7 linked regions of the Mus musculus genome follow. The protein of the gene in region 7 purifies or fractionates together with the protein of the main gene of each other region. This does not show direct contact. Links are inferred from orthologs where the notes say so. Each region holds a gene or a part of one and is shown on either strand. Other genes may lie near its edges. The genes, in order: Mta3, Adnp, Tcerg1, Anp32e, Rbm45, Ncbp1 and Kpna1.

What was found.
Region 1: the proteins of Kpna1 (region 7) and Mta3 purify together in Homo sapiens (affinity purification with mass spectrometry; 3 studies listed by BioGRID and IntAct, with this or other methods). This does not show direct contact. The link is inferred for Mus musculus from reciprocal best matches to the Homo sapiens genes KPNA1 and MTA3.
Region 2: the proteins of Kpna1 (region 7) and Adnp purify together in Homo sapiens (co-immunoprecipitation; 3 studies listed by BioGRID and IntAct, with this or other methods). This does not show direct contact. The link is inferred for Mus musculus from reciprocal best matches to the Homo sapiens genes KPNA1 and ADNP.
Region 3: the proteins of Kpna1 (region 7) and Tcerg1 purify together in Homo sapiens (co-immunoprecipitation; 3 studies listed by BioGRID and IntAct, with this or other methods). This does not show direct contact. The link is inferred for Mus musculus from reciprocal best matches to the Homo sapiens genes KPNA1 and TCERG1.
Region 4: the proteins of Kpna1 (region 7) and Anp32e purify together in Homo sapiens (affinity purification with mass spectrometry; 4 studies listed by BioGRID and IntAct, with this or other methods). This does not show direct contact. The link is inferred for Mus musculus from reciprocal best matches to the Homo sapiens genes KPNA1 and ANP32E.
Region 5: the proteins of Kpna1 (region 7) and Rbm45 purify together in Homo sapiens (co-immunoprecipitation; 3 studies listed by BioGRID and IntAct, with this or other methods). This does not show direct contact. The link is inferred for Mus musculus from reciprocal best matches to the Homo sapiens genes KPNA1 and RBM45.
Region 6: the proteins of Kpna1 (region 7) and Ncbp1 purify together in Homo sapiens (co-immunoprecipitation; 3 studies listed by BioGRID and IntAct, with this or other methods). This does not show direct contact. The link is inferred for Mus musculus from reciprocal best matches to the Homo sapiens genes KPNA1 and NCBP1.

Annotation. Positions count from the first base shown.
Region 1 is NC_000083.6:83,786,184-83,789,683, forward strand, and holds part of Mta3 (metastasis-associated protein MTA3), read left to right. Parts: intron 1-2,734; coding exon of another isoform or gene 2,735-2,737; coding exon 2,738-2,859; intron 2,860-3,500. UniProt on the Homo sapiens protein: Acts as a component of the histone deacetylase NuRD complex which participates in the remodeling of chromatin.
Region 2 is NC_000068.7:168,204,313-168,208,250, forward strand, and holds the start of Adnp (activity-dependent neuroprotector homeobox protein), read right to left. Parts: upstream 2,801-3,938; 5' UTR 2,262-2,800; intron 463-2,261; exon of another isoform or gene 288-462; intron 1-287.
Region 3 is NC_000084.6:42,573,386-42,576,285, forward strand, and holds the end of Tcerg1 (transcription elongation regulator 1), read left to right. Parts: intron 1-774; exon of another isoform or gene 775-868; intron 869-1,132; coding exon 1,133-1,334; 3' UTR 1,335-2,400; downstream 2,401-2,900. UniProt on the Homo sapiens protein: Transcription factor that binds RNA polymerase II and inhibits the elongation of transcripts from target promoters. Regulates transcription elongation in a TATA box-dependent manner.
Region 4 is NC_000069.6:95,935,757-95,939,256, forward strand, and holds part of Anp32e (acidic leucine-rich nuclear phosphoprotein 32 family member E), read left to right. Parts: intron 1-1,267; coding exon 1,268-1,439; intron 1,440-2,125; coding exon 2,126-2,283; intron 2,284-3,500. UniProt on the Homo sapiens protein: Histone chaperone that specifically mediates the genome-wide removal of histone H2A.Z/H2AZ1 from the nucleosome: removes H2A.Z/H2AZ1 from its normal sites of deposition, especially from enhancer and insulator regions.
Region 5 is NC_000068.7:76,376,484-76,379,983, reverse strand, and holds part of Rbm45 (RNA-binding protein 45), read right to left. Parts: coding exon 3,480-3,500; intron 1,604-3,479; coding exon 1,474-1,603; intron 1,307-1,473; coding exon 1,222-1,306; intron 1,067-1,221; coding exon 903-1,066; intron 1-902. UniProt on the Homo sapiens protein: RNA-binding protein with binding specificity for poly(C). May play an important role in neural development.
Region 6 is NC_000070.6:46,166,011-46,169,510, reverse strand, and holds part of Ncbp1 (nuclear cap-binding protein subunit 1), read right to left. Parts: intron 2,774-3,500; coding exon 2,671-2,773; intron 2,210-2,670; coding exon 2,116-2,209; intron 1,061-2,115; coding exon 957-1,060; intron 383-956; coding exon 268-382; intron 1-267. UniProt on the Homo sapiens protein: Component of the cap-binding complex (CBC), which binds cotranscriptionally to the 5'-cap of pre-mRNAs and is involved in various processes such as pre-mRNA splicing, translation regulation, nonsense-mediated mRNA decay, RNA-mediated gene silencing (RNAi) by microRNAs (miRNAs) and mRNA export.
Region 7 is NC_000082.6:36,021,363-36,024,862, forward strand, and holds part of Kpna1 (importin subunit alpha-5), read left to right. Parts: intron 1-122; coding exon 123-286; intron 287-1,812; coding exon 1,813-1,891; intron 1,892-3,500. UniProt on the Homo sapiens protein: Functions in nuclear protein import as an adapter protein for nuclear receptor KPNB1. Binds specifically and directly to substrates containing either a simple or bipartite NLS motif.

The sequences.
Region 1 (3,500 bases), on a different chromosome or scaffold from region 7:
TAAATATTTTGTTATGCCCCCCCCCCAAAAAGAGTCTTTGAGGAAGTAAGTGTGAGTGCACATGGCTGCAGGCAGTTGCACTGAACAGCGAGTGGTGTCCTGAGCTGGGACAGGACCGAACACAATAGAGGAGCCTGGAGAAAAATGGTGTGCCTGGTGTGAAGAGAGTAGTCAGCCAGCCCCAGGGGCAGGGCAGTGCAGTATGGGTACCCATGATTTGAAGAATGGACAAATTTGAAAGAGGAGTCATGGTCTTGAAGATGACAGGTTTCATTTGGATCCAGGGAGCAGCAGGGCATATATGGGGAGACTGGCTATGGGTGCTCAGGAGGAGAGATGGCACCAGCTTGACCTAGGAAGAGCTTTGGAAGCGGTGCTGTTTGGGAGGTGACTGACCTCGGCTTGTCAAGGTTAGGTCCACAGTTAGGTGACTGTTCCTGCGAGTCACCAAGCTCAGAGAAGGTGGCGCAATATTAGGTGAGGCCACTGCGAGTTTGTTCCATCATAAAAGGAGTAAGGAATGTAAGTGCAGCATACACTGAACACACTGACCAGTACACAAAGCCACTGCATTGTGGGCACCAAGAAATGTTTATGAAAATATTCCGTGAAACTGTCCTTCCTCTAAAACACCCTCCCACGGTCTCTCACAACCTGGAACATTTTATACCTGTCATTATCCTCCCTGGACCTGCCTCAAGTTACTATTTACACATAATAATCAGAGTTGTGAACGGTTGTGAGCCACTGTGTGGGTGCTGGGAATCAAACCCAGGTCGTCTGCAAGAACAGCAAGTGCGCTTAACCACTGGGCCGTCTCTCCAGCCCAGCACTGGCCCTTCTTAGACTCAAATCTTTAGTCCTGCATTTAAATGCCAAGTTTCCACATTTCTGGGAAACGTTTCACTAGATTTAAGTGAGTAGGGGCATTGTTTGAGCCAGTCCATGGCAGAGTCCTTTTCAACTGGAAATGTTAACACCTCTTTGGGAACTTGAGTTTCTCTGAACTACTTCCTTTCTTTTCTTTTTTGAGACTCTCTCTCTCTCTCTCTCTCTCTCTCTCTCTCTCTCTCTTTCTTGCTCGCTCGCTCTCTCTCTCTCTCTCTCGCTCTCTCTCACTCTCTCCATAACCCTGGCTGTCCTAGAACTCACTTTGTAGACCAGGCTGTCCTTGAACTCACAGCGATGCCACTGCCACTGTCTGGAGGCTGTGATTAAAGGCTTACAGTGCCAGCCCCGCTTCTCTTCTTTTTGTTCCAAAAATACTAAACAAACAACAAAACCTGTTTCGTTTGTTTGTTTGTTTGTTTGTTTGTGAATGTGTGTGTCCTGAGCTGGGGAGAGGGGTCTCACAGTGTAACAGAGATGAAAGGTTCACTAGCAGGAAGCTCTTCTGGGGCAGATCTTTGTTTCCTATGTAGTGAGTCTGTATTTCTGAATGGTGTGCACTGTGCATGCAGCTGTAGGCACAGCTCTAAGCAGGGGTTAGCCTACTGTCAGCTCTGTTTACATAGTAAGTGCCCTGACATGTGCAGCCTATGTGTTTAAAGAGTTAGAGCTGTGCTGGCCAGTCTGCATTCAGTTTTACCAGCGTCTCTGATGCGTTTGTACTTAGCCTCCTGACCTATGTCTTTTTTTCTCCTAAAAGTGTTTTCTTTTTTTTTTTCAAAGATTTATTTATTATTATACATAAGTACACTGTAGCTGACTTCAGACATACCAGCAGAGGGCATCAGATCCCATTACAGATGGTTGTGAGCCACCATGTGGTTGCTGGGATTTGAACTCAGGACCTTCCGAAGAGCAGTCAGTGTTCTTACCCGCTGAGCCATCTTGCCAGCCCCTGAAAGTGTTTTCTTAAAACAGAAGAGGGAAAAACAAATCTAAAACATGAACTCAAAAGCTTTCTCATCCAATTGCTAATCTGCCTCAGAAAACATAATGTGAATTTTTATCTCGAGCTTGGGACAGGTGCTCCTTGGCTGTGTGTGGCGGGTGGCCCTGCAAAGCTAGCCTCACCCCCTCGGGAGCACTGTAGCGGCCACAGCGTCATCCCAAGCAGGAGAGGAGCCAGGGCTCTTCCAGCCCCACAGCACTGCCCTTACCTTAACACCCAATCAAAGGCTGTCTTTGTCAGGAAAATGTCTGATGAAGATAAAGCCCAGGGGCTTCTGTCTTTCAAAAGTACAGCGAGCTGTGGAGAATTGGCACCGGTATGGTGTCCACAGGAGCCATGCCTTCGCCGCAGAGTGCCTGAGACAGGACTCTGGCTGTTTTATAGCTCTGTTTTGCAAAATGAGTGCCTTGGTTTTATTTTGTTTCTTTTTTCTTATCATTGCACCAAATATACCCTCTTATGTAAGTTCCTGGAATCATGTGTGCCAATGTATTTCGTTTTGTTTTGTTTTTTTTTTTCTTTTTCTTTTGGTTGTTGTTTGGTGTATGTGTTTGCGGTTGTTGTTATTTTTTTTTTTAGGTTAGTGTACAAAGTCCTGGGTCCATCCCAGCATCCTTGTTCGCACCTCCCACCATACTTCCTTTTCATTGTCTCCCTTCACTGCCTCCCATACTTGGGTGCATCTTCACACCCTGCTTTTCCCAGTCTCTGTCTTCCTCACTAAATGGATTAAGTATCTGTTCGTATTTCAGGGAAGGGAAATTAGTAAGGAGGTGCCTGCTTTTGACCTTGTCCTACAAATTGTTTTTATCATCTCACTTTACATTTCATTGAAAGCAGCAAACCAAATCCCAACCAAATCTCCAGCAGCAACGGCAAGGCTGGCACTGTGAATGGAGCTGTGGGGACCCAGTTTCAGCCCCAGAGCGCCCTCCTAGGGCGAGCCTGCGAGAGCTGCTACGGTAAGTCTGCTCAGGCCAGGCCTGGCTAAGTGTGGGAACTGTCCTCTGCTGTGGGGTGGGTTACTGAGAAGGTTCTAGAAAGCATGCCTGCTGCTCAGAGACAGGGCAGCGTCTCTTCAGTGAGCGGGTGTCCGCTCCCCCCCCACCCCCACCCCCACACACAAGCCCACGCTGGGATCAGTGGATATTGGCTGAGCGCTCTTGCTAAGGTGAGTGTGCATTGGCTCTGGTTTTCTTCTGTGGATCTATGCTTGCTGGCAGGGTTTGTTTGTTTGTTTGAACTGTATGCTGTTATATTCACTTTGTGCTGTGATACATACCAAATCCCCTCTTGGAGTTCCTCAATGTCCTCTGACAAATTAAATGTGTCTGCTACTTGTAGCGAAGAGGCAGGTGTGGGGATAAGAGCTTACAGCCCTCAAGCTCCCAGGGCACCAGGTGGGGAAAGGCCAGGTTATGATATTTGCTTTTGGCCTCGGGCCTTACTGTGCACACCTCTGCTTGCAGGGTTCTTATGTGTGCCCCTGTTGTATGGGGCTATGGAGATGGTCTGGCCCGCAGCCGATACATTGTATGTTTTAAATCTCAAACAACAGCAGAGGCTCTCCTCTCTGTCATTGTTGCTATGGGTCAGGTTCTTG
Region 2 (3,938 bases), on a different chromosome or scaffold from region 7:
TAAGGCTTTCAGATGCTGAGCAAGTCTTGAGATAGACTACTTAAAACTTTATGTCCAAAAGTGCAGAATGCAAATGATTACAACAACATCATCGACTTTAAATTTTTCTCTTAAAAGAGACACATATTTTAAACGTTCAAAACCCATTACTGCAACCAGCTCTAACGAGTTCCTTGAGGAATGTGGCGAGGCTGAAATTTTGAAAGTTCATGTTCTGGTGGTGATCAGGAGGAAGTCTCTAGCTTTCCTGATGCTGCAGTCCCCACCCTCCAAAATGATATACCCACCGGTGTGAATTGACAATGCAGTCCAAAGAGCAAGGCAGGGAACGGAGTCCAGATCCTCAAAATGGCAGTACAGGGAATAACCACTAGGCCACCTATCAGTTCAGTACAAAAAGTGCAACCCTGTGCATCACGATGTAAAAGCTGGGGCCTAGGTTTCGTACTGTGCATCTCACACCTATGGAAATAACAACAGGAGTAAAATCTACAGAAATCCACACACCCTAAAAAGGTGGGTGCGCACCGAACCAAGACTGGTGTCAACACTTGCAAAGGCAGTTGGCTACAGACAGTGTACTGCTGAAAGTGGAAGGCAACACAATTTTGCAGTGAACTCTATTAAGTTTGACAATGAAGAACTCAATAGGGACCTGATGTTTACCAACAAAGCCTTGCAAATCCTGACACCCATCTTTCATGGCTGTCAAAATCACCAACCCATAAAACCTCTCAAGAATGACTTTCCACTCGCAAAAGAGTCGGAGAGATTTGGATTGACCTGATCTCCCAAGCCCGTGACTTTCAGGTTTTAAACAACCCCCTTTACCACCTAGCCTAGGAAAGAGATGTCAACACATCAAACCTTAAGGTGAAGGAATTCTTGAGAAAGGGAACCTATGACCCAAGGATGTGCACCAAGGTGACTGATCAGCAATCAAAGTCTGAGGGTGAACAGGTTTGAAAAAGTAAAAAAAGACAACTTTCCAAACGGAGAAGTGGCTTTCTTAAATAAAATCTCTCTAGCCTCACTTAATCCTTCGCCATGTTGCTGTCAGCTCACCCAGTGCAAGTCTTGCTGGACCCATTTTCCCATGGTCTGTAGAAGGCGCTGTTTAGCACATCCTGTTCTAGTTCTGGGGCCCTTCCCCCCTCTGCAGCCTTACCCAGTGCAGGGAATGCGCCCCCTACTGACTCCCACACTCAGTGCCTTTAACCGACTTGGCTGCAGTGCCTTTTGGGTGGGGGCTGGTATTTTCTCCATGACCATAAACCAGAAGCAACAATGCAGATTTATAAAGAAACTGCACAAAGCTATCCAAGAGACACCCCCCGACACACATCCCATTGTGAAGGTTCAAGATACAGGCACAAGAAGCATCAGGGATGGGAACTGGGCGTTTGGGGCTGGACAGCATTAAAATGGCTAACACAGGAAACAGTTTGGTTCTTTTTCCCTCCTAAGCCTTTGTCTGTGAAATGGGGTTATGACAAGAACTGTCCAGAGGACCTGGTGACTGGAAGAACACTGAGAAGACACTTGGGGTGTGTGGCAGGGAGTGAGACTAAAATGAGTATTAGACTTCTTGGAGAGAAGAAGAGAAGCAATCGCGCCTTTTCTAGCAGACAGGCATCCAGGTTGGGGGTAGGGTGGGGAAGGGAGGAGAAGGACAGGCAGCTCAGAGGAAAGAAGAGGCGAATAAGAGGGTGCTCAAAGAACTACTCCCCATTCATTGCATTCGAAAAAAATTCTTTCCGCGGCTTTCTGGATTTCCATTTTCTGACTGCAAAGTTGATCAGAAAGCTCTAAAGAGGGAGTGCTGACCAGGTAGCCCAGATTGAAAGCAGGGCCGGTGAGGGGCTGTGGTGGTTAGGATGGGAGGGAAACTGGCATGTTGTTGGGGAGGCAAAGACTTTCACCCTCTGCCATGCACGCTCCCCGCCCCCCAGGCCTTTCCCCCCTTTCCAAGCCTAGGGTGGGCAGACCTGGCAGAAGGCTGGTTCCGGGGACTGGGGGAGGGCGGGAGGGGATTAGTTCTGAGGACGAGAGAGCGAGCGGGGTTCGGCTGGGGGCGGGGTGGGTGCGGGAAGATGCCACTAGCCGCAAAAGCCCATGGTGGCCGGCCGGCAGCCCCGCGGGGCGGAGAAGGGGATCGGGCTGCAGGAGGGCTGCGGCCGACTGGGGTTCGAGGCGGTGTGTGCACGCCGAGCACAATGACCGCGCCCGGGATCGGCGGCGGGCAGGGCCGCGGGGCTTACCTTGGCTCGGCCTCGAGGCGTGCGCGGGGCCGGCGTGCTCTAGAGCACGGCGGCGGGTGGACGGCGGCACGGCGATGGCGGCGAGGACGCGCCCGGGGCCTCGTCGCGCTCGGGCTCCGGCTCGAGCCGCGGCCGCGGCTGCTGCCGGGGGGCGCGGCGGGCGCAGCAGAGCGGCGGGCGGCGGCGCGGGCAGTGCAGACAAAGGAGGGGCGGAGGGCGGCGGAGGGCGTGGGGCCGCGGCTTCACCGTCGCGGGCGGGCAGGCGGGCGGCGACGGCCGCGCGGCTCCTCGGCGGCGGAGACCGAGAGAGGGAGCTGTGGCTGAGGCGACGCCAAATCCCCCCCGAGCGAGCGCGGCTGGAGGGGGAGGGGGCCAAGATGGCGGCGGGCGGGCGCTCAGCTCATGGGTCCCGGCGGCGGCGGGTAGACCGGACGGGTGGCGGCGGCGGCGGCGGGCGGGGGAGGGGGCTGGTCCCGCGTCTCCCCTCAGCAGACAATACAAGCGCCTCAGAGCAAGTCCCCGAACCTGCCCTAGCCAAAATGGCGGCCGAGAAAGAGCGGAAGTGACGTAAGCGACTCATTAGCATAAGAGGACTCATTGTCCAGCTGGGGGGGGGCGGGGGCCATGGACCCCCTACTCGGCGACCCCCCCCCAAGGGAGAGCTCTTCGGTCCTCGGCTGCGGCGACACCCACTTTCCTTATGGCAGGGTGGCCCCAGCCCCCCCCAGCCTCTCCTGGGTGAGATTATATAATCCCCACTGAGGGGAGCTCTCGCGAGAACGTGGAGGCTTTGCCATTGCCCCACTAGGAGGCGCCGTGGATAATGGCCGCACTGCGCTCCTGGGTGCCTTCCTCTGACCGCAGCGCCGCCGGCGGAGGCAGAAGTAGCGGGCCGCAGCACGCCTCGACAGTCAGTCAGGTGGCTGCACTGGGGATCCCTGCGCGGGCCCATCTGGGCCTGAACTACATCTGGCAGGAGGGCGCCTGGGGCTGCCCAAGGCCCACGTGCTCAGAGTCAGCTCTCCCAAGCTGGAGGCAAAGCCAAGGGTTGAGCCTGCTGCCTCCTGCCTTTAATGAGGTGTGATGCCCTCGTGTTCCTCCCATTTTTTGAGATGACACAGCTCTGAGGCCATGTCAGCTCTTCTAGTGAACTGGTATGGGATAGACAGGGACTCAGCTTTTCACTTCTGCTGTTCCTTGGACTCAAGTCATTCCTTCAAGTCATCAGATGGCCACTTACCATTGACTCAAGGAAAAAAAAAGTGGGATTTGTAGAGTTGAGGCCATTGGATTGTCAATGGCTAAGGATGAAAACGGTCTGGCACTCACCCACAATTCTGGTATGTGACAGCACCTGCACTGTTGGCTTTGTAACTTTGGATCATCCCCAACCAACATACCATGTCAACATCAACAGCCTCGGTCCACTTTAAAGGAACAGTAGTTACCCTACCGTAGATAAGGATGGCTAAAAGCTCTACAAAGTAGCAAGTGCAGTTGTGAAGGATTGGCCACCCCTCCCCCAACATGAGGTCTCTACAAAGTTGCAAATTTTGAAAGAATCAGACTATATATACAGACAGCTCAGTGTCTAAGGGTTTGGTTGGGAAGTTGAACAAACTTCCACCTAACATTTATTTTTTGCAATTATTAGAACATATATTTAAACCCCTAATC
Region 3 (2,900 bases), on a different chromosome or scaffold from region 7:
GCAGCTGCTGTCTCCTAGCCTGTACTCTAATGGCCAGAGCATACTTTTCACTCACACACATGTTGACAGTGTTCATTTTAGGAGTCAGAAGATGCCAGCTTTCCTCACGGGCAGATACAGGCCATTCCACAGTACTTTTTATTTTTTTAAAGAAAGGGCCCAGATGTCAATTCACATTTTGTGTTATGTACATCCAGTTTTTAAAATACACTTTTATTTTTACTTCACTGCTTTTTTTTTTCTTTTTTGAGGACCCTCAACTCTTTAAGAATTGTAATTCACAAAGAGACTTTAAATTAATTTTCACTATAACAACTTATCTTTGCCTCCTCTGAAGACTGCTGAGTGGGGTTAGACCATGAATGCCTGAACTCATCTTCTTAAGGCAGAAACATAATTTTCCTCCAACAGGAAAGGAGTTGCTGGATACACTTATTTTTTAAAAAGATTAAAAAGCAGAGCCTTTAAAAAAGGTTTTGGTGTTGCACACCCAGTGGTCCATCACCACTAGTAACCTTTCACCAGGAAACGTTTTTGGCATGGCCTACAGTCTGTGTGCAGGAGAGCAGTTAGGCTTCATGCGCCAGCATTTCCTCCTTTAGAAGACAGCTTTGACGAAGGAGGAAGGGTGTGCCCGGGAGGATAGATAGTGCTGAGGGTGTGCTTCATAGGTGTTTTGTCATTTGGATTTTTTGGTCAGGATCCTTAATGTTTTGCATCAGCTTGGGCTTTTAAATTAGATGTGAAGTAAGACTTCTTTCTACATTTTTATAGTTAATTTAGTGAAAGATGTGAAAGTGAAAGCTTGTGAAAGATGCTGGGATTGGCAGCCCCGCAGACTGAAGTCCTCTGTTCATCCACAGAACAGGTACAGCACGGGCAAGATTTACCTACCCACCCTCAGCCCTGATCTGGAGGGACCACCAGTAGGGGTGGGAGGGTAATTCAGCTTCTGAGGCCCTTTCACTCCCTGGAGTCTTTGCTGAGGCGATTTACAAAGGTGACTGCTGCAGTGAAATTTTTCTTTAAAAAAGTGGAAACACAATTAGGAACTAGATGGACATTTCCGGCTCATTTCTGCAAGACCAGCGAACAGCAGTCAGTAATTCTTGTGCTTTTTCTCTTATTTCAGATCCAAAAAGTTAATCCAAGAATCTGATCAGCACCTGAAAGATGTAGAAAAGATTTTGCAGAATGACAAACGGTATCTAGTACTGGACTGTGTCCCCGAGGAGAGGAGGAAACTAATTGTGGCCTATGTTGATGACCTGGATCGCCGAGGTCCACCCCCACCTCCCACAGCATCAGAGCCCACTAGACGATCAACAAAATAATTCTAAATACCCTTCCACGGGCTCGCTGTTAATTGAAAATGCTTGCATGAGCCAGATTTTCAGGTTTTTACATATATGCATTAGTCAACCTATTGCAAAATCACCTGACGAACAGAAGGAGAAGCGGTTGTGGGCAGTCTCAGAACGGAACACTTTGAAAATAGTTAATGCTTTTCTTTGTGTGGCATGACTGACATACATACTCAAATATAGGCTGTCTCTAGTAAATTTAAAATCTCGAAGCTAAAAGTCATCCTTTTATAAGGTGTGGAAGCCAGTGACTTGGTGATGTTCTTACTAGCAGTGTTACTCAGCAAGACAGGAGAGTTTGTGGTAGGAGCTTGGAAATACCACAGACTCCAGGAAAACTGAAGTTGGAGTTTGTTTTTGATTTTGTTTTTTAAGCGGGTAAAAGAGAAAACACTGAATTGAATTCTTCCAGAGACTATGGTTATTATAATGGACGTACTTTTACCTTTGTCTCTAAAGAGCAGTTTAGTTGTATTTGTTCACGTATGTGCTTTGATTCTCCCCTCCGGAGTTATAGGCCAAGTCTTGTTTACCCCAGGAGAAGATGTATTTAGTAATTTCTTCTCAGGTATGAACCACATTCATAACTAACATGTTGGCCAGAGTGGAATCCTGGTTTAAACATTCTTTATTCTCCATTGAATGATCTCTACCAATATTCTCAATTAGACAACAAAACTCCCTTTCTGGGTGTTCCTGTAAACTACTCCTGTTTGAATGTTTGAACTTTTGTTTCTAAAAAGTTTAAGATGTTTGAATGTTGAATTTATGTATTTGAACTACAATAAACCAACCCTTTTATATATGTGGATTGTAAATGATTATTGTTACACAATATATTTTTTAAAAACTCGTAGACCTGTTTTTTATTTTTTCTTTGTTTGCTTTCTTGTTTGGGTCATTGTTTTTTTTTTTGTTTGTTTTGTTTTGTTTTGAAAAAAGCATGTGATATTTGAGACAACAAAATCTTAGAATATAGGTTTTAAAGGCTTGACTATAATGCTGTATTTCTAATATAAAAGACAAGAAATTTTGTAGAAAGCCTATTCTCCCTTTCTTTTGTGTGCCTGTATGTGTGTGTATGTTTATATGTGTGTCTAATCAGTCTTTTAATTCTACCTGTTAATTAATAGCAAGAATATTGTAGTTCTTTGTCTTTCTAGCATATCAAAGGTTTGCACCTTTTAGACGTCCTTTCTACCTGTCATATGTCATGCCGTGAACTTACTTACCTCTGACGCTCAGCCAAGTTTTTCTGGCTTTACACCCCTTCCCAGTGCCTGGGGTGTGAGTGTGTATAAATCCTATGTTGTTCTCACAGGTTGCCCTTAGCAAAGCACCACATAATAAGTAAGGCGTGTAGGAAGATCCCAATGTTAGTTATCTTCCCCATTGTCTCCCACCCTTTATGATGGCCACAGAGCCTAGAAAGAGGAATACCAACTGACCAAACTGTATTTGTTACCTATAACATTCATATCCATACTACTTACTAGTATAAATCTATTAAGTGTCATAGAAATTACATGACATGTT
Region 4 (3,500 bases), on a different chromosome or scaffold from region 7:
AGTGTCTGAAGACAGCTACAGTGTACTTACATATATTAATAAAATAAATCTTTAAAAAAAAAAAAAGGAAAAACAAAACCCAAAAACAAAAACAACAAAACAAAACAAAAAAAAGAAATAAAAGTCCAGGCGATATTTGAATCAGTGACAAATATATTTAATGATTGGCTTTTATTTTCTTCAGGGCTTTATTCTGGTTTCAAGTTTTCAGTATTTTTTTTAAAGATTTATTTATTATATGTAAGTACATTGTAGCTGTCCTCAGACACTCCAGAAGAGGGCATCAGATTTCGTTATGGATGGTTGTGAGCCACCATGTGGTTGCTGGGATTTGAACTGGGGACGTTCGGAAGAGCAGTCGGTGCTCTTAACCACTGAGCCATCTCGCCAGCCCTCAGTATTTTTTTAACACCTTTTTTTTTCCCTATATTTTGAGGTAGTCTGTCTCCTTTTTTTCTTTTTCTTTTCTTTTTTTTTTTTTTTTTTCGAAACAAAGTTTCTCTGTATAGCCCCTGGCTGTCCTGGAACTCACTCTGTAGACCAGGCTGGCCTCGAACTCAGAAAATCCCCCTGCCTCTGTCTCCCGAGTGCTGGGATTAAAGGCATGCACCACCTCGCCCAGCTTATTTTCTGATAGGAAGGAAAAGATAAATAATACAAAACTGAAAATGGATATTCAGGTTTACAGTTTGTTTTATTAGTGCGTCCGTGCGTCTGTGCGTGTTGGTTTTCTGGGGCCCAGGGATTGAATCTACATTGCCAGGCATGGCCAGGCCTTGTCCGTGGGCTTATTGTGGTGGTACCTGCCTGTAATCTCAGCACTCTAGAGGCTAAAGCAACTGAGAATTCAAGGCCAGCTTGGGCTATGTAATGGGACGTTACCCTGTCTTTAAGAAGAAAAAGATGGGAGACTAAGTCTTGGTAGCCCAGGCTGGCCTCCCACTCGGACCTTCCTGCCCTGGCTGGGTTATGGTGTGTGCTGGCACACTTGGGGTGCTGTTGCCTATCTGCCCAGCTTCTGTCAGCAAAAATGCCTGGGGTGTCTGCAAGAAACTAAGTTGTAAGACATTTGCTGGGGACACAGCGGTGACCAACCAAAGTTTCTCCACGGGTGCTGCTGCCTGTGCCTGGGAGAGTGGCCTTACAAACCCTAAAAGTGCATAAACTTGTTCTTTAGCTTCAAGAATATGTTTTTCAGCTCTTTCATTAAAACTCAAGAACACAGTGTTTAAAATCTTGATTGTAACCTTTAACTTTACTTTTTCAGCAAAATCTTAAAAATTTGAAAAGTCTCGACTTGTTTAACTGTGAGATCACAAACCTGGAAGATTATAGAGAAAGTATTTTTGAACTGCTGCAGCAGATCACCTACCTGGACGGATTCGACCAGGAGGACAACGAAGCTCCCGACTCGGAGGAGGAGGATGACGACGACGAGGGTGAGGCTCTTAGTTTACTATTTACTTGTTTGGAGATAGGGTGTCTCTGTAGCTCTGGCTGTGCTGGAATTCACTGTGTAGACCAGGCTGACCCCAAACAGAGAGCCACCTGCCTCTGCCCACTTCGTGCTGGGATCAAAGGTGTTCACCACCATGCCTGGCAACCAGCAGGTTTTGAAGTGACCGCAAAGTAAAGCCAACTTCAGTGTGTATAATGTTTGAAAATGTATTTTGGAAGGGTCCTTTGCAGTGCTGGGATGGGGTCATCCTTGCACATGCTCGGTACGTGCTGACCTGGATCCCCAGTCCTAGTAAAGTACTTCTGGGTCACAGGTAACAGTGCTGTAAAATGGGTGGGTTTGCTTTGTTTCCTTTTATCGAGACAGGGTCTCCCTGTGTAGCCCTGGTTGTCCTGGAACTCTGTAGACCAGGCTGACCTCAAACTCAGTCCCACCCCCCCAACTCCAAGCCTCCCCCTCTGCCCCTCTGCCTCCCAGTGCTGGGATTAAAGGCACGCACTGCTATTGTCTGGCCAGAATTTGTTCTTTTAAGCCAAGTGTAGGGGCACTTGCCATGGTTGGTTTAAGATGAATGGGGGCCACGTGCCAGAAGGACGCAGTCCCTATGAGTACCAGGAGGAAGCGGTTGCCGGGATGCTTGCTCACCTTTGACAATGTTTTCTAAAGATGGAGATGAAGATGAGGAAGATGAGGACGAAGATGAAGCTGGCCCACCGGAAGGCTATGAAGAGGAGGAAGATGACGATGAGGATGAAGCTGGCTCAGAAGTGGGAGAGGGAGAAGAGGAGGTGGGCCTCTCATACTTAATGAAAGACGAAATTCAGGTGAATGGAAACTTGTTGTTCGCCCTGAAGACGGTTGGCCCAGGGCTAAGTGCTGTATGAGTAGGATGGGTTGTGAGTGGTTTCCTGATGCCTGGATGAGCATGGATAAGCATCTGTCTTTTTTTCTCCCTCCTACTGGGTGCTCCATATTATGTCCAGACAGCTGTAAATACTTGCTGATTTTCTTTCTTTTTTTTGTTTTAAAGCCCAAGGACAGTTTTATTTAAAAACTCTCAGGGCAGGTGATCTGTAAGTCTCAGTAGCTCCTAAGAGGAGAACAGAGGGGAGAACGGAAAAACCCAGTGCCGCGTAAACTGGCCTTGAGGTGAGACCAGTGGTCACAGGGTAGGGAGCTCGCGGTCTAGAGAGGAGGTGTGGAAGGCCACAGTGGTAGAAAAGCTGTATCTGGGCTCTGGCCGGCATCCAAAAAGAATGAGACGACAGGAAAAGTTGCCTTTTTTGACTTGGGTCTCAGAAAGGTGGGCAGACTCAGCCGAATCTCATGGCCACTCATGGGGACTGCCATTGCTTGCTCTTTTTCTCCTGAATTTCTGAATTGACTCTGCCTTCAGTGGCACAGGATGGAGGAAGCCTTTTCTGAATGTCTGAGCCTCTTTCTGCATCTGTATAAGCAAACTCCTGGAGTTGCTTTAACAAGGTGATGCACATAAAGCCCCTGGTTCTGGTTGGTGACAGTGCAGACACTCAGAGACTGTGATCTTTTCCCTTCAGTTAGCTCGTGACTCCTGCAGTAGCTTTTCTACCTTTTTAAATTAAAAGTTGTGTGTGCTCAGCTGGGTGTGGTGGCGCACGCCTTTAATCCCAGCACTCGGGAGACAGAGGCAGGCAGATTTCTGAGTTCGAGGCCAGCCTGGTCTACCTAGTGAGTTCCAGGACAGCCAGGGCCATGCAGAGAAATCCTGTCTCAAAAAAACAACATGCCTGTGAATGTGTGGCGTGTGAATGTAGTTGCCCGTGGGTGCCAGAAGAGGGTGCTCTGGAGCTGTACTTACAGGCGGGCACCAGTTTTGGAAGCTGAAATCCAGGTCCTCCGAAACAGTCTTGACCACGGGCTCGTGTGCCAGCCACCACCTGCATTCGCTTCCTAAGCAGTGTCCGCCTAGGTGGACTCTGCTCAGGGATTTCTTCCACCAAGCGCCCGTGTGGTGTGCAGATAGATCATTGCTCTCCTCGTGTGCTGTGATGTCTCCCTCTTG
Region 5 (3,500 bases), on a different chromosome or scaffold from region 7:
TCATATCCTTCCAGCCAGAAAAACAAAAACCCAAACCCAAGCCATACCCCCCAACCTCCTACTCTGGCAAAACTAGGTTTATCCTTCAGGTCTCAGGACCCATCCTGCTTCAAAGAGAAATCTCAGAATTTCTGTGGGACCTTCCACTGCTGCTCTGTGTAACAAATGTCCTGTTCATGAGGTAGAATGCTTTGTTTACAACACACTTCGCATGCCAGCCCAGTGCATGCCCAGCACAGAGGGACGCAGTGGTTCAAGAACAAAACCACCAGACCCAAACCTAAATGAATCAGTTACATAAGGTCGACACATCTGTACATGACTGACATTGTGTGTGGCGCTTTTACATGCTACCTATTTGTTTAACTAATATACAATCTTAGAGGGAGGGGAAAAGGCAAATGTCTAAAAAATAGCTATGGTAGATATAAAGTTATATTAAGATACAAAAATAGGTAAGACCCTCCTCTTGCCTTTATTCTTACTACATATTATCCCCTATAATTAAGTGATTTGCCCTCCATGTCATAACCCTCAGGATCCAACCAAGTGTGGGTAAAATGTAAGATGTTTAGTAAACACTGAATTATAACATGGAGAAAACATAACGTCAAAACAACAGGTCTATGCAAATGAATCTTCTCTCAAGAGACAAGTGACTTTTTCCATTCTCTACCTTCCTGTATATCTTAAGTCTTAAAAAAGAAATCAGGGAAATTCCGTGTGTAGGTCAGGATGTGTGTCTGACGGAGAAAAGAAAATGAGCATAAAGAAAAGATCAGTTAAGTCTTTAGAACTCAGAGCAGGTCACGGCGCAGCAGCGGGAGTGTGAGAATAGTGGTTACTGGTTTAAATGAGTGTACTTGCTTACAACTACCAACGGGTAGCTTTGAGAACCTTACCAGAATATATCCTCCAACACGTCTAGTGGCAAAGGATGGGGATTAAACACAACAAACAGCCTTTCTTTCACTGGAGTTTCAGGCGGCGCTTTCTTTTTGCACGACGGAAGTACAACATCTGTCTGGATTTGAGGCGCCTGTGAGGCAGCATTTCCTCCATATTGCTGCAGAAGAGTCCGGCACAAAGGGAGAGAAAAGAAGGCAGCCCTTCAGCGCTTTGGGGACAAGAGCTAAGGGTGTGTTCCGGCACCCACGTGGTCTTTTACTACAGCTCTGAAAGTGTTCTCGGTACAGACGCAACACATTCTTACCCACTTACCAGAAACTGCTGCTGACTCGTGGTACTCCACACCATCGACGCGAGCTGGGCCGCCACCATCTGTGTCGCCATTTTCCTGATGAGTCTGGAAACAACAACCGACGGTTTATGGGAAACTAGAAATACTCAGCATCTTAACAATAATTTGTTTGCTGTGGCTTCCTCACCTGAGGTGAACTGTTTATTTTTATCCGTCAAGCCAGAGTCACATGGCCCGCGGTTTGACTTGGGCCACCCTGGAATGGTACTTACTCTGTCATATTACTCCCGTCATCCAGGAAAGAGACGACTATCCGATTCCCAGGAGGGTACTGGAACCCATGCAGTTTGTATTTTGCATAAATAGCTGATGCTACGTTAAAATACTGAACCACACCATGACCTAAAATAGAGAATATACAGACATGCAAAAGGCAGCATCCTTAAGGCCTAAGTTACAATGTATTCCTTTCTTTCTCTTTTTTAGTTTTTAAATTTTACATGCATTGGCATTTTGCCTGCATGTATGTCTGTGTGAGGTGTCAGAAGCTCTGACACTGGAGTTACAGACAGGTGTGAGCTGCCAGGTGGGTGCTGAGAATTGAAAGAGCAGCCAGTGCTCTTAACCAAGGAGCCTCCTCTCCAGCCCCAGTTACAATGTATTTCAAAGGTGGAAAAATACAGGACTTCCATTTTTCTCACACAACCAGTAAGTACAAATCAAAGATAACAGAGAACAAAGTTCTGCTAAACATGCATGTAACATTATTTGTAGGCAATGAAATGTAAGTTAGATCTTTGTAAAATACAAACATTTTTAAGAAATTGTAGTATCAGTATATATTCTATCTAATGAGTTGAATTTAAAATATATATTTATTCTTCTCTTAGCAGGAACTTGCTAGACCAGGCCATTGGCCTTAAACTTGTAATCCCACTGTTTCGGTCTCCCATCGAGTCCTGGGATTACAGGCGCTTAGCACCAGGCCCAGCTTACGTTTTCTTATATAATAGCCATATACATAAAAACCAAAATCTTAATTCTTTGAAGCTAAGAGTTTTTCTTGTTATACTGAACAGGAAACAATGAGAACTTGTCCACGGATATAGTCAGCTAGTTGCAACCGTGGAGGAGGGTGGTCTGTATGAAAATCAGAAACGTTGCCCGTTTCACATTCCTTTGAAGAGACTTCAGCTCTGGGGCTGGGTGTCAATTGAGCGGGCGGTGCGGGGGCAGGGAGAGGTTTATCCCGGAGCCCAGGGGCTTGTGACACAACCAAGAAGCTTTCATGACTTCTCTGTCGTGAGAAACACAGTGCTGGCCTCTGTAAATCACACGGACTGAGTAGGTTTTACTGGACTGAGTAGGTTTTACTGTCAGTCTGACGTAACCTAGGGCTGCCCGGAAGGAGGAGCCTCAGCTGGAGACCCGCCTGGACCAGACCCCCCGCTGGCGTGCTGTGAGGAAGGGCCCTGACTGTAACTACCACGAATCAGAGAATGTAGGGAGAGGTGCAGAACACTTAGGATGCCAGAGAGGTAGAGAGACCTGGAAATGCAACGAGGAGGACGCTTTAAACACTTTATATGCATCAACTCAAAGAGCCAAACCAGACCCTAGCCTGAGGCACTGTTGTTTTACAATGGGAAATAGAGAATTCTTTATTTTGTGAGAGTTAAAATATCTTTTATGGTGAATGATTTTTATATAAAAAAAGATAACATTCTTGAGGGTTTATTTACTAAGGTATTGTTGGATTTTAAACTATAAAATAGGAAAAACGGAGGGGCCAGAAGAAGGTAGTGAGATTAAAGTACATGATATACCTAACAAAAATGTCATTGTGGGGCTGGCGAGATGGCTCAGTGGATAAGAGCACTGACTGCTCTCCCAAAGGTCCTGAGTTCAAATCCCAGCAACCACATGGTGGCTCATGACCATCCATATGAGATCTGACAACCTCTTCTGGTGCTTCTGAAGACAGCTACAGTGTACTTCTGTATAATAAAAAATAAATCTTTGGGCCAGAGTAGACTCTGGCTTCACATGGTTAAAAAAAAAAAAAAAAAAAAAAAAGAAAAGAAAAAAGAAAAAAAATTCACTGAATAATAAACCTGTATGTTAACAAAAAGAACTAAAACAAACAACAACAAAAACCACCTAGAAAAAGAAAACATAAACTTCCTGCAGCATAAACAGCATAAGAAAGTATCATGTGTGAATGAAAACTGATTTCACAGAGCACTGCAAACTTAACAACAGCAAAACATCATTTTACCGTAATTTGAATAAGGATCTC
Region 6 (3,500 bases), on a different chromosome or scaffold from region 7:
GTCGGGACGGAGACTAACTTGTCCCACCTCTCCTCAGCCTCTCCAACTGTGTCTCTTCTCCTCTGTGCCAGACTTAGAGATATACAAGTTTCTTCTAGGAAGCCACTTAGAGGTGGTAAACTAGGGAACAGTTTGTGGTCAACATCAGTGCCATAGCATGTGGCAGTTTTATGTAACTTGGAAAAAGCCTAGTGTCACGGCAATGGCTCGGACTACCCTGCAGATTCTGTCCCAACCTGTGAGCCCTCAGGTCGGCAGGTGACTTACTCGTTTGTGCTGCCTCGCCAGTTTCTCTTTAGCTTCTTCTAGCTCTTTCTGGATCTTCAGAACATGTTTGTTCATCTTACGAATTGTAGAGTGCAAAATTTCCCACACAAACAACCTTAAAGTAATACAGCATTTGGTTAATGTATGTTATGCTACTGCAGAGGAAATATCTACAGTTTCAGCCTATCATTCTTAGGGGCTGATGGGGCCTTCTGTCCCCTGGGAAGAATGAAGCAGTCTTTTCCAGCAACACTAGTTCAGCCCTGCGGTGAATTATGAAGCATCCGTCTCCACACATTAGTCAGGCAGGCGGCTCCCAGGGGGCAGGACCATAACCTGTACTTGTCCACCCCTTAATAAAACACCAACATTAGAGTTGGTTCTCCTACCATGTGAGCTCTGAGGATCAAACCCAGGGATCTCAGACCATTAGGCTTGACAGCAAGCCCCCTGACCCTCTGAGCCATCTTGTTGGCCCTGTAAAAACTTTTGATCATATGACACTTCAGGCCTCGGTATATTTCTGACAAGTGTGCTCTGCAAATAGTGGGTGTAGTGGAAAAGTTAAGACTGTCACAGATTTTATTTCATTTGTTTTCACAATATGTTAGCCCTTGCTCTTTGGTCCTGATCACTATAAAGCCTGTGTAACATCACACTGTTACTGGTGATACAGTTCTGGTTCAGACCTCGTAAAGTCCCGAGACAGCTCCGATGAGAAGATCCAGTTTGCTACTGCTGCACAGTCGACAATCTGCGTACGAATCATCTTATCAACCAGCACAGCAATCATCTACGACAAGGAAGAGACAAGCAGGCACGGTGGTAAACAATGCTAGGAAATGAAATAGTGCGGCTATGAAATGTGATTTCAATGGCAAGAGAATTGACCAGTTTAAGCCATAGCTCGTCTTTTTTTTCTTCTAGACACGGTTTCATATAGCTAGGGCTGGCCTTGAACTCCTGATTTTCCTGCCATTACTTCCCAAGTGCTGCCATTAGTCTTGATTAGACTAGTCAGCCTTTAGATTTATTCTGCCTTCTGCTATGCTCTAATATTATAAGAAAACTATATTAATAATAAAGATTGCATGAAAAGACAACTCTTGAATGGTAGCACATACTCTTTAAGAAAACTTTCATTGATAATACCTCTATAAAAATATATAAGCCGGGCGTGGTGGTGCACGCCTTTAATCCCAGCACTCGGGAGGCAGATGCAGGCGGATTTCTGAATTCGAGGCCAGCCTGGTCTACAGAGTGAGCTCCAGGACAGCCAGGGCTACACAGAGAAACCCTGTCTCGAAAAACAAAAACAAAAACAAAAGAAAAAAAAGTATATATATATGTCTGGCCCTACTTAAAAATGTTATGGGTCTTGTTTGTAGAAATGGATAATCATGACAACTATTTCCTACCAAATATTGTGGTCAAACAATTTTCTTCCTCAGCATCTAATATGTGTGGAATTGCTTTAGCACAAAACCAATCCCAATGCCACCTGAAGAATGTTACCAAGGTCCGGCGAGATGACTCAATGGCTAAGACACTCGATGGCAAGTTGGACAAGCCAGGTTCAATACCCAGGACTCACCATGGTTGAAGGAGAGAACAGACCTGAAATTTGTCCTCTGACTTCGCATAGGCCCCGTGACCCTCCCATGCACCCCTAAGCAACAGCTCAGTGTAATTTAAAAATCTACCAAGAAGAATGTATCAGTTAAGTATTTCCATAACACCCAGTGTACAGACTTAAAAAACATTCTACTACTGGCAGACTCCAATCTACCTAATGTCATACGTGTGTATCTCCATAGCCAGGCCCACGTCCCAGTGAGCAGGCGTTACCTGTGGATGGTTCCTCCACACTTCAAACATGACTCTCAGCACGTGCAGCTTCCCCTTATCACTCTCCGCCAGAGTTTTGAAGACTTCATGAAACCTTTAGACAAAGGTGCAAAGTACCAGAGTTACTCAGAAGCCCCTTTAGTGTCACTGAATTTAAAATATAGCACATAATAAAAGACAAAGAGTCATCCCTAAGCCCACACATGTGTTGGAACTGCGCCCGAGGAAGCTTCATCAGCTTAGGAGAGTGCTCTTTCCTCATGGACTCTTACCAGATTTGCTATCGTTACATGCCAACCCTCGGGCAGGCTCTCGTTGCTGCTTCCTCTCCTGGGAAAGGCGTCAAGATAGGCCGGACCCTCAGCCTGTGTAGACGACTGTCCCCGGGACCTAGGCTGGCACTGCTTTACCCACCACATGCACAGCTACACTGCACACACTCAAGGAAGCCACCACAAACCAAACCCCACTCTAGCAAACTATGTAAGAAGATCTTCATATTTAACAACTTTAGGCAAGTTAGTACAGCACTGGTGCTCAAATGTATATACTTACTTTGCAAGAGCACTGAAGGAGTGACTGAAGGACTTGGCAGCTAAGTGCAGCAGAGTCTGGACAAAGACCTCTATTTTCAAAGGGTTAAATCTGAACCCTTCATCTGAAAAATATTTTATAGTAAGATTTAAAAAAAGTTAACTGTCGGGCAGTGGTGGTGCATGTCTATAATCCCAGCACTTGGGAGGCAGAGACAAGCAGATTTCTGAGTTCGAGGCCAGCCTGGTCTACAGAGTGAGTTCCAGGACAGCCAGGGCTACACAGAGAAACCCTGTCTCGAAAAAACGCCCCCCCCCTCCCAAGTTAACTATAGTAATTCTTTGGTGCTACACCTTGTACTGCTAATAACATATGAACATATAATAATGTTCTAGTAAAAGCAACACCACACTCCTGATTTCACACATTGACAACATAAAACTAAGTTGGGCCAGCCAAGGCTACATAGCAAGACCTCATGTCAATCCCTCGTGAAAAAGCAGACCCTTAACTCTCTCTCATGGGAGAGTTCTTCTATATAGCTCAGGGTTGTTTTTATGGCAGGCTCTCACTATGCACTGTTGTTGGCCAGGAACCTCAAACTTGGTTGGATTAACAGGCTTGCACTACCACTCCTGGCTTATGACCCGTTTGCTTAAAACCATCACACATCCCTCTTCCATATTCTGATTACGAGATGTCAAAATGTTAAAGCAAAACCAGCAAAACCTTTAAACCTACAGCTTACAACTTCTGCCAAGTCTAAACCTCCTGTTACCACAGCTGACTAACACGTCTTCAGTGCACTCCCAAGCAAAGGGCTGTCTCTGCAGACCAGTCATCTGCTCTTT
Region 7 (3,500 bases):
TTGACAGTGCCTAGCTAGAATTGTAAACCACTCCATAACTCACTCAGCGTCTGTCTGTCTGGTAGGCTTCATGAGTGTCTTAGCTCACTCCAGAAGTTGTAATCATCTTTTTTTCCCCCTAGGTTTCTCCCTGTCTGAATGTCCTTTCTTGGTTACTGTTTGTCAGTGACACTGATGTACTAGCTGATGCTTGCTGGGCTCTCTCATACCTGTCAGATGGACCCAATGATAAAATCCAAGCAGTCATCGATGCAGGAGTCTGCAGGAGGCTTGTGGAACTTCTGATGTAAGATGATCTTTAAGAAAGTGTCTCTTGCACTCCTAGGTTTTCCCTCCTGATGCCATGACTCAAAGTCTTAGAAGTGACCTTAGATGAGGAGAGGAAAGGGTTTAACTTTTCCCTCCAGGTCACAGTCTGTCACTGCGGGAAGCCAGACAAGTGACTAAGTACAGACTGGATGACTGCTGCTTACTGGCATGTCGGTCTTGCTGCTCAACTCATGCTCAGCCAGTTTACCTCTAGGGTTGATGCTGTTCACAGTGGACTGGGCCCTGCCCTCCTGATGATCAGTCATCAGCCAAGACTATCTATCTCACAGCCACAGCATGGTATACTCTGATCCAGGTGGCCCCTCAGTTGAGACTTAAAAATTAGCAGCTGATGCTAACTAGTACACTATATTTTTCCACATCCCTAGCACTCTGGTATTAGTTGATTATAAATCTTACTGATTTATTATGCATTGGCCATTTGCCTCTTGTTTATATTGATGCCATTTTTAGTTCCCTTTTGAGACCTAATGAAGACTGTATTCTTCTACCATTATTAGTCCTTGAGCAGAATGTTTTGAAAAGCGTTGTCTGTATGTTTCTGTTATTCCACTCACATTGGAAGGCCTAAGGCCAGGTACTAGAAATCAAAGGCATATTGTTATGATAAATCGCCATTTCTTACTTAAAAAACAGACTAGATCATATTTTTGTAATGCTTTTGGTGATAGCATGGAAGATTTACTCTTGGCATAAATAATTTAAGACTATATTAACCAAATCTTTAGCTAATACTTAGAAGAAAATGTAGCCATACTATGATGGTGAAATAGTAAAGTTATAAGCCACATGACATTAATTGATGTACAAAACAGTTTTGTATGTTATAGTGATCAAAGACTGATTGTAGACCAGCAGTGTAGTATTGTCACAAGTTAACAAAAAGAAAAAAAATCTGGGAAACATTTGTCATGCGTCATTTTAGTCATTAGATCTTAAATGTGAAACAAGAGAGTTTGGGTTGGTCTTGGAGGTACATGGGTGTCTGTCCTCAATATCTGTCTCCACATATACACAGCAGGCATTATGGAAAGCTTTCTTGACCATTAAGGCAGCCTGTTAGTTCAGTGGAAACAGTAAAGTATTTGAGATGGGAATCTCACTTGGGTTTTGAAGTTTGCTGAAGTGTAGAAATAGGTGCAGTGAATAAATGTTGCCTGTGCCTCCCCGGTCACCTCAGCAGCTCCAGACCAAGTAAGGGGGAGAGAGGTCCTGTAGCAAAGAGTAAAAGTGTGGAATTCAGTGCTAAAGTACCTGGTAAAGATTACTAGAAAAGAATTTTAAAAATAAGGAGAATGATTGCTTTTTAAGGTGATGGTCAGTTCTGCTGCCGTGGTGGATTCCCTAAATAGCCGTAATCATAAAGTGCCTTTCTGCTCTAAAATTGAATCACATCTTCCTTAATTTGACTTTCATCCCCAAAGAAAAGATTTTGGATAGAACTGTTGTCTCTAACATTTTTTTTTTCTTTTATGGTTGCAGGCATAATGACTATAAAGTAGTTTCTCCTGCTTTGCGGGCTGTGGGAAACATTGTCACAGGGGATGATATTCAGACACAGGTATGAACAAGTGGTAAGATTTCTGTAAAGTGAGTCCATTGACTTCACAAACATAGTTCTGTTATTGAATTTTGTATTGTCAAGCATCCCCACTGACACAGTGTTTAATATTCTCAGTATCTACAAGTCCTGTGACTTGTAGCAATTGTAGGTTCTCTTATGAAAAAAAAAAAGTTTTTTTTTTTCCTAAGCCAGTTTTCTTTCTGCTTTTATTTGTAGCACATCCTAGAAGCACCAAATGGGATTTCTAGTAGTATATATGCTTTCTGGTAGTGCCCTCCTTTTGTATATGCTAAGGTTTTTGTAAGAAAGACTCTTTCCTCATAGTTCCCAGTGTCCATTCTACTTTTAGTAACAAGACAGGCCATCCACAGTAACCTTCCGTGTTCTCCTTTGTTGTGGGCGTGTTCTAAGGAGCAGTTCTTCAGCCTCATTCCTGGGTTCTGTAACTTCAGTCATCACCCTTATGTACATGGGCTATAAGAATCAGAATTAGGTTTTAGCTGTATCAATCAGCTTCAACTTCAATTTTCTAATCTCTAAAAGGAACGCAATTAGATTTGTGTTCTCAGATGTTATAGTTACAGTGTTTTTAATTTGAGCTTATCCTATCTACAAGGGAACTCATTTCCCCCCTCTTTATCTTTATCTGTTTTAGTTTCCAGTCTCAGTATTTGGCTTTAACAGTTGCCCATGCCAGTAATGCAGGTACTAGCTTGATTCTACTCTTCATTCACTCTTTTGCTAGATCTATCATTGGTACTCTATCATTGCTCATCCCTTGCATTGTGTAGTGTAGATGTCTTAGACAAGGCAAAGGAAATATATATTTGATTGTACTTGTATAAAATTTCTCTGGGACAATACATAGGAAATGGTTATCTTTGATGATCTCAGAGGATAACTGGGTTGTTGGAATACAGGAAACGAAAGGAAGGGAAAGGAATCTTACCTAGGCAGTCCTTATACATTTTTAAATTTTTAAAATTTATTTTTTTTTAAACATTTTTAAAAATACTGTATGTCTGTATATTATGTGCATGTGCATACTTGTGCCATAGCTCCTGGGTGGACATCTTTGTTGGGTTAGTTTTATTCTTTCATTAAAATGAGTTTTAGGGATCAAACCCAGGTTTGCAGATTTTTGTGGCAAATGACTCTATGCACTGATACATCTCGCCAGCTCATATCTTGGATTTTTTAACCACGTTAATGTATTTACTTTGGGTTGGGGTTGGGGCAAGTTTGTAGGGCTTAGATACAGCTCAGTGATAGACTTACTTGACCAGTGTGTATGCAGTCCTGAGTCCAAGTCCTAGCCTCACACAACAGAATGCTCTCACTGTCTCCCCGTGGCACCCATGGTCTTTGTTCTTGCCCTATTTGTTCACTGCAGTTTGCCTGACTGCTTTTAGCTCTGAGGTTAACACATGGATTTTTTTTTTTTTCTTTCATCCCCTATCTTTGCCCTGGCTACTGCTTTCCCCATAACTATAACCTTACTCTTGTTGCTAATGATTCTTTATTCTTTGTGCTTTTTATATTAGCATTGTATTCTTTGGAAGAGTGCCTCAGATTCCATTACAGGTGGTTGTGAGCTACTGTGTGG